2 linked regions of the Tamandua tetradactyla genome follow. The protein of the gene in region 1 interacts with the protein of each later gene in a biochemical or structural test. Links are inferred from orthologs where the notes say so. Each region holds a gene or a part of one and is shown on either strand. Other genes may lie near its edges.

What was found.
Region 2: the proteins of GJD2 (region 1) and LNX2 form a complex in vitro, tested with the Homo sapiens proteins (2 studies listed by BioGRID and IntAct, with this or other methods). The link is inferred for Tamandua tetradactyla from reciprocal best matches to the Homo sapiens genes GJD2 and LNX2.

Annotation. Positions count from the first base shown.
Region 1 is NC_135340.1:47,825,110-47,829,010, reverse strand, and holds GJD2 (gap junction delta-2 protein), read left to right. Parts: upstream 1-1,384; coding exon 1,385-1,455; intron 1,456-2,419; coding exon 2,420-3,314; downstream 3,315-3,901. UniProt on the Homo sapiens protein: One gap junction consists of a cluster of closely packed pairs of transmembrane channels, the connexons, through which materials of low MW diffuse from one cell to a neighboring cell.
Region 2 is NC_135330.1:192,862,301-192,866,209, forward strand, and holds the start of LNX2 (ligand of Numb protein X 2), read right to left. Parts: upstream 3,029-3,909; 5' UTR 3,010-3,028; intron 2,634-3,009; exon of another isoform or gene 2,435-2,633; intron 1-2,434.

The sequences.
Region 1 (3,901 bases):
TGTTCTAGACAGAACTGACAACAACGTGTAAATTTAAAAACTCAAACCAGGAACTGCCGATTGAGGAGAGAAAGCAAAGACCCGATAAGGAAAGGCGGGTGGGGTGAGATTGGTGAGCCGTTCTATTTCTGCCAGCACAGTACTGGGCCTTCTTAAATTCAGATTAGACAGCTCTTCCACCCCATCAGTCGAAAGAAAGGAACAAAAAAATACCGGAGCGTCTTGATACGCCTTGGGAAGGGAGACCTTTCGCCACCACCATCCCGCTTGCTCACCGTAGGCACCTGTTTAGGGTCACCCTTACACCTAGACCCACCTTAGAGGCAGCGTCACACCTACATCCATGCTTTAGCCTGAGTGGACGCCCATCGAGCCTTCCTCGCCCCAGCATCGGATCCACACAGGCAGGGAGCCGCCGCCCCGCTCTCAGTCATGCAGTCCTCTCCAAGCGAGCTTTAAGAGCGCCCTGTTTGTCACCCCTGCTCTCCCTGCCTCGAGCAGGCATCTCCATTTAGCGAGGGAATTCCAGAATGTGCGGGAGCAGACACCCTACGTCCTCGCGCCCCTCCCCACTCACCCGCGCGTCTGCTTCTGGCTCCCCCTCCTCCTGCCGGGGGCTGGCGGTCAGGTGAGGCTACCTGGGCGCCCCGACAAGCCCCAAGGGGCTCTGTGGTACTTGCTCTCGAAGCCGTCCCACTCCCCGCCGGGCCCCCAGGACTCTCGCCTCCTCTGCCCCCGCGCGCGTCCCCTGCCCCTCGGGCCCCGACGCAGCTCCAGCCGCACGCGGCGCTCCGCTCCCCTCCGCCGACCTGGCGTGACGCAGGCGGAGACTACTTAAGGGCGGATTAGAGGCGGCGGCCGCGGATTCCCGAGCCCGGCGGCCGGCTCCGCGCGCTCCGCCCCGGCTTCGCAGAAGCCAGCGCGGGAGCTCCAGGTGCCCACTAAAGTGGCAGGCGTGGGGGGCTAGTGCCCGCATCCTCCCCGCCGGCCTTTAGCCCCCGGGGGACGGCGGCGCCTAGAAACCTCTCTCCGGCGGGTGAGAGGTCGCGGACCCCGCGCGCTGCCAACCCCGCCCCGCCCCTCCCCGGGGCACCCTCGGGCTCCAGACCTGCCCCCGGACGGCGCCGAAGGTTGGTGCCGGCTCTCGGGACCGCGCCAGCTGCCCCAGCAGTCGGGACGCGCTTGGATTTCTTTCCCCGTTTTCCTCCTCTAAGTACAATAAAAGGGAGAGGGGATTGCTGGTTAAATTTTTTAAAATTTTGTTTACTTCTTTAATTGGGGGGCAATTCGCTCCCAGTCGGGAGGTGCGGCCCGGGGAGGGGCCAGAAGCGGGAACGTGCCCGGTGCTGCCCAGTCTTTGTCTGCTGCCTCCGGATGCACAGCGATGGGGGAATGGACCATCTTGGAGAGGCTGCTGGAAGCCGCCGTGCAGCAGCACTCCACTATGATCGGGAGGTAAGGGCGCTGAGCCGGCTGTCAGCGGGCCCTGTCGGGCGGCCCAGGGGGTGGAGTCCCTCCTCACGTCCCTGATCGAGCCCCATAGCCCCCAGCCCGTCCTCTGCCCTCTAGTCCTCTCTTCGTGCGCATGTGTCTTCGGCATTGAGGGATCGTCCCACGCGCAGGGATGACCCTCCTCTGGCTACTCTACACCATCTCCTCATCCTTTCCGTATGGAGCACCGCCAGGGACTCCCTCTTTCCCCATCAGAAAGGGATTTGCTGGCTCAGTCTTGGTCCCCCACTCTCCAGAGTCAGAGCCAATCTCCATATGTTTCCCTAAATGGAATCTCCCAGAAAGGTAGGTTGTATTTGGCAGAGAAGGGCAAATGGGGAGATGAATTTGCTCTTTGGAGCAGCTGTATCTTTTCCCAACAAATGTTTATTATGCTATACTTATTTGGCCATGAAAATTTCGGTGTCAAGAATCCACACACCCAATTACCTATGTATATATAATCATAGATATCTGTTTTTATAGAGCATTAGGTTCAATATTCATATTGAGAATAAAGTAAACACGTGGAATAGTTATATACACACACTGTGTAAATCTTGAAACATGCATTCTCTGTACAGGTGCTCCATGTGCATTTGCCATATCTAAGGTAAAGATGTGTTTTGTGCCTCTGTGTACATTCCAGATATATAGATGAACTCTGTCTGTTGTAAACACCGTGTCCAATATGTGGAGCTGTTTATACTTGGGATCCCTATGTAGTACTATGAAGTATTCCCAGTGTACCAGAAAGGAGAGAGACAGACCAGTTAGCCAGATTTCTATTTCAGTACCACTCATGGGCGGACAGCTCCCCAGTCAAGGAACCCAGTGAGCACCAGAGCAGAGAAGGGAGGAGCAGGGCTTTCCTAAACCAGTGATTCAGCCCATGAGAATTTCTCTCCCTCCCTCTTCCCCTGCTCAGGATCCTGTTGACCGTGGTGGTGATTTTCCGGATCCTCATTGTGGCCATTGTGGGGGAGACGGTGTACGATGATGAGCAGACCATGTTTGTGTGCAACACCCTGCAGCCGGGCTGTAACCAGGCCTGCTATGATCGCGCCTTTCCTATCTCCCACATACGTTACTGGGTCTTCCAGATTATTATGGTGTGTACCCCCAGTCTCTGCTTCATCACCTACTCTGTGCACCAGTCTGCCAAGCAACGAGAACGCCGCTACTCTACTGTCTTTCTAGCCCTGGATAGAGACCCCCCTGAGTCCATGGGGGGTCCTGGAGGAACTGGGAGTGGGGCCAGTGGCGGGGGCAAACGAGAAGACAAGAAGTTGCAAAATGCCATCGTTAATGGGGTGCTGCAGAACACAGAGAACACCAGCAAGGAGACAGAGCCAGATTGTCTAGAGGTCAAGGAGCTGGCGCCACACCCGTCAGGAATGCGCACTGCAGCGCGATCCAAGCTCCGACGGCAGGAGGGCATCTCCCGCTTCTATATTATCCAAGTGGTGTTCCGAAATGCCCTGGAGATTGGGTTTCTGGTAGGCCAGTACTTTCTCTATGGCTTCAGTGTCCCAGGGTTGTATGAGTGTGACCGCTACCCCTGCATCAAGGAGGTGGAATGCTATGTATCCCGGCCTACTGAGAAGACAGTCTTTCTAGTGTTCATGTTTGCTGTCAGTGGCATCTGTGTTGTGCTCAACCTGGCTGAACTCAACCACCTGGGATGGCGCAAGATCAAGTTGGCCGTGCGAGGGGCCCAGGCCAAGAGAAAGTCAGTCTATGAGATCCGTAACAAGGACCTGCCCAGGGTCAGTGTTCCCAATTTTGGCAGGACTCAGTCCAGTGACTCTGCTTATGTGTGAAGGTGTGGATTTTGAGAACGACTGGGGGATGATAAGCATCCCCCAGGCAGCTAACTGCTCAAGGATGGCTGTATCTGCCCTCATTTATGTGACTCTCACTGTTCAGATGTAGGATAAGGCTGGTTCAGATCTCTTGCATCAGTGGGAGAGGAGAGAAAGTAGAACCATTAACATACGTCACACCATTGGCCCTACAGAGACAATTGGTTAGAGTGATAAGATGGACGATTTGGACGTTTTGGGGGCTCTCTTCTTTTATGGCCCAGCGTGATCCTGATAGTAATGGGTTTGTGCAGCTACCAAGTAGGACTTAACCCTGCCGAGCTCTGAATACTGGTAAATGGTGTGAACCAAATACTTTTTTAATACAAAATTTGTGAACTATCTCAATGCATCCTTCATCCTGGGCTGCAGGACAAACATCCTTGAGGCATCCTTTATGTATTGTCCCTATCAGCATGCCCCTCCTCCTCGACCCAGGATAGCATATCAGCTTTTTTTTTTTTCTGAATCTGGCCTTACAGTGGACCTAATATGGTTCATCTGCAAGCTAGAGGGAATTACTTGGGGTGTTTTTGGAGTTTGAC
Region 2 (3,909 bases), on another chromosome or scaffold:
CTGAAGGAACAACTAATATTTATTGAGCACTCAGAATGTGCTAGGCCCTCTGCCAAGAGAATTATATGTGTAATTTCATTTGATCCGCACACCGTACTAGTTAAGGTGCTATGATCATTTCCTAGATATTAGGAAACCAAAGCTAAATCAGGATAATTCAGGTGGTAAGTGGTAGAATTGGAATTCTAACCCTGTTCTGACTCCTACAGCCAGCTTAACCAGTACACTCCAACGCCTCAAGTTAAAATGGCTAGGAATCCTCCTTCTTTCATTAATCATATCCAGTCACTTACAAGTCCATCCACTTAGAACCTCCTAAATCCCACATCATCCCCACAGCCACTGCCTTCATCTGGAATAACAACAAGCATTTACTAAGTGCCTGCTAGGTGCCAAGCACTTTTCTAAGCAATGCACATGTTCTATCAAGTTTTATTCTCCAAACTTGGAGAATAAGAAACTGAGAGTTAGTGAGAGAGCCAGGATTCAAACCCAAGCAATGCGGGTTTCAAATCACTGCATTTAACCTCTATGTTATGGCAGCCTCCCACTCTGTTTCCCTACTTCCCATCTGGACCCTCACCATCCTTCAGACTACTGCGGAGACATCTGTCAGGAATGCAAATGTTATCACGACATTCTCCACAGAAAATAAGCAGCTCCATATCACTGACAGAATAAAGTCCAAATTTCTTAACGTGGTTGACAAAACCCTTCACGTTTCTGTGAAAAATCAGTCCAATAAATAGCGAGTGCCTCCTGTTAGCAAGGTAAAGTGCTCTGTACTCCTAAATGAGTAACAACTAAGCCTGTGACAACTCCAATTCCAGACAGGTCCTGTCTGTCCTTCAGTCAGACTAAGGATATGCAGGTCTCAGGTGCAATGCCCTAAAGAGATTTGCATGTCCAAGTGGCCTATAGGTTTTAAGTACCTCTGCCTAGAATATACTAGCAAAATCCCACTCTCAAAAGATAGGTAAGCACCCTAGGTGAAGTCTTCCCTGACAAACTACAGGTGGCATTTCCTCCCGCTTTTATGTTTCTATAGCAGCTAGTTCAACTTATTTTCAGGGCCCTAGTGGACTCGAGGTATGTTATTTGCTTCCAAAACTAGGAGCAACCTCAGGGCAAGGACCAAACTTTGTTTGTGGTCAGTATCTGACAGGCAATAGGCACACTATTCTTTGACAAATGAATCAACCATGAAAAATTTAAAACTTGAGAAATGGAAAGGAACGAGATACAGAATTAGGAATGATAGCACACAAGTGGAATGAATTAAAGGTAGAATTATTCTACCTTGGCTGGATTTGGCCTACATTCTACCCCTATGGGAAAACTCACATGCGCGACTTGGGCAGGCTAAAAAGGAAAAAAACTTTGTTATTTATGGTTCAACAAAGCTTTGACAGGCCAAAGTGATACTAGATTTCCCACTTCCTTCTTTACCTGCCAAAGTACACTTTCCAAAGGAGGCCTAGGGATGGGAATCAAATCTACCAGAATAAATAACATCGATCTACTGAGATCCAGCTTCATTGGTGCTTGGAAAGAGTGCATCCAAAAGAAAAGTCAAAATCTGTCCTGGGAGGAAGGCCAATTTACATCTAAGTACTTCTACTGTAAGAATGTGAAATTCGTAGAGAGAAGGCAGTTTCAATGAACGGGAGCCAACAACTGTTTTCACCTCCTGCGCTGCCACTGCCTTGACTCAACTTAGTTTCTGATTTCTGTAATTAAAAAATAATTTTAAAAAACTATACAGTTAAGCTCCAGGCATGAGTTTTCTTTAGCTCCTGGGAGGTACGAACATCTGGGCCAACAATCTTAAATATAAACTAAAATATCAGAAGACACACTCCATGTAAGTCAAAAACCCTTGGTTGAAAACGTGGCATAAAGCTTTGAAAAAACGAGTGATGCATTTCCTGACTCGTGCTTTGGGTGGAACTGCTTCCAAATCAAGATCCGTCCTCTGAAATCACCACCTCGAAGACGTGAAACCTCTCTCCCAGCCTTTGCAGCCCGAAGGGGAAGGCGGGGGAACAGGCAACAGGCTGGGCGGAGGGGAAGCGCTGTCCTCATGCCTACCCAGGGGCAAGCGATGGGTTGTGGGGGCAGCTGGTGCCCCACATTTCACCACACACACACACACAAACACGAGAAGGATAAAACTCAGGTCCCCTCTTCCCTCACCAAAAAAGCAAAAGACGCAGATCAGTAACACGGTGGCCGAAGCCCCAAAGCGCCTGCCTGGCGGCGGCCCCAACCATCAAAAGCGCCGCACACTACCGTCGAAGTGAGGCCGGCTCGGTGCCGCCCTCGGGGGAGGCTGCGGGGCGCTCCCGGCACGGCGCTCCCCCGCCCCGGCCCGCCCCGGCCCCCACACCTGAGGCTGCCCAGACCCCGCGGACGGGTCAGCAAAGTTACTCACGGGAAAGGCGCCTGCCCGCGGCGCTGGGCTCCCGGGGCCTCAGCCCGCCCGCCGCGGCCGCCGAGGGAGCGGGGGGCCACCCGGGCTCCGCTCCGCCGCAAACCGCAGCCACCGCCGATTTCCTGGCGAGAACCAAAGTCCAGCCGAGACTTCACTTCTCAACCGCCCCTGCTGCTTTCCCCCGGGCGAGCGGCGGGCAGAGACGCCCAACCCGACACGCACCTGGGCCAATCGGCGGCGGAGCCCGGCGGGGAGGGGCGGGCCAGGCGACGACTCCGCCTATCCGCGAGCCCGGGGGGCAGGCCCGGTCGGGCCGCACCTCCGGGTTAGAGTGAGCCGCTGGCCGCCGTCCCTCCCCCACCCGCCCGGCTGTCCCCGCCGCCCGCCAGTCTCGCCGCGGAAGATGCGCAGGGGAAGGGTCTGGGCGCCCGCGACGCTGGTCCGGGGGAGCGGGGAAGGCGGGGGGTCGGAGGGGCCAGGGAGAACGCGCGGCGCAAGAAGAGGAAATGTAGGTGTATTAGGAGAGCGGTCAGCTGGGGTCGGAGGGAGAATGGGCTGGTGACGAAGAAAAGCACCTGAGGGGATGCGGAGAAGACAGGTACGAAGAAGAGGGAGGGCCAGAGCGGTTCCGGCTGCGAAAGGCTGCCGAGGCGGGGCTGGGGAACCCGGAAACAAAGGTGAGAGGGCGGTTCCGCAGGTGAGGAGGTTTAAGAAACCCAAAGGGTAAAGGGGAAAAGAAGTCCAAAGCAGGGGGAGAAGCACTTTAGGAGTAGAAAAAACCCTAGGAGAGAAAGAATGGGGAGCATTGGGGGGGGGCAGTTTAGTCCCAAACTCTCGCTCCCCCCAAAGATAAGGGCAGACGCTGTCCTTCAGCCCAGTTAAGGTGTGCAGCTGCAAGATCCCCGATGAGACAAATACTGTCTTAAACCCTCGAGTCCTGTGGTGAAATTCACGCCTTCACACATAACCCTCCTTTCGTTAGGTGCATTGATCGGTTAGCTTGGCGTGATCTATAGAGACCTCGGTCTACCCTGAGTGCTCGTCTCGGCATCCCCTGAAAGCCACTCGAGGTTGGGGTCCCGGGAGCACCGTCGCCCCCCATGGCCTAGCGGCGAGCCCGAGGAAGCCCGATTCCGCCCAAGGGAGGTAGGGAGTTTGGGGGGCGACAAGTAATGCCACGCCCCCTTTGCCAGCACCTGGGGGAAAGTGCCGAAGGCCGAGCTCGGGAGCAGACAGACTGCCTGCTCTCCCCAGCGCTCTCCCCATGCCCCTGCCGGAGGCCGGCCGCGCAGCGCCAGGTGAGCGGGACCCGCTCGCGGCACCGCCCTCGCGCGCCAGGGGCGGAGCCTCTCAGCCCCGCCCCGCTGAGCCTCTCGCCCCGCCCCTCGGCTTGGCCCTGCCGCGCCGCCGCGGCCCCGCCTCCCTCCTTCCGTCTTCGTCTCCTTCCGTCGGTAGGTCTTTCCTTTCTGCTGGGC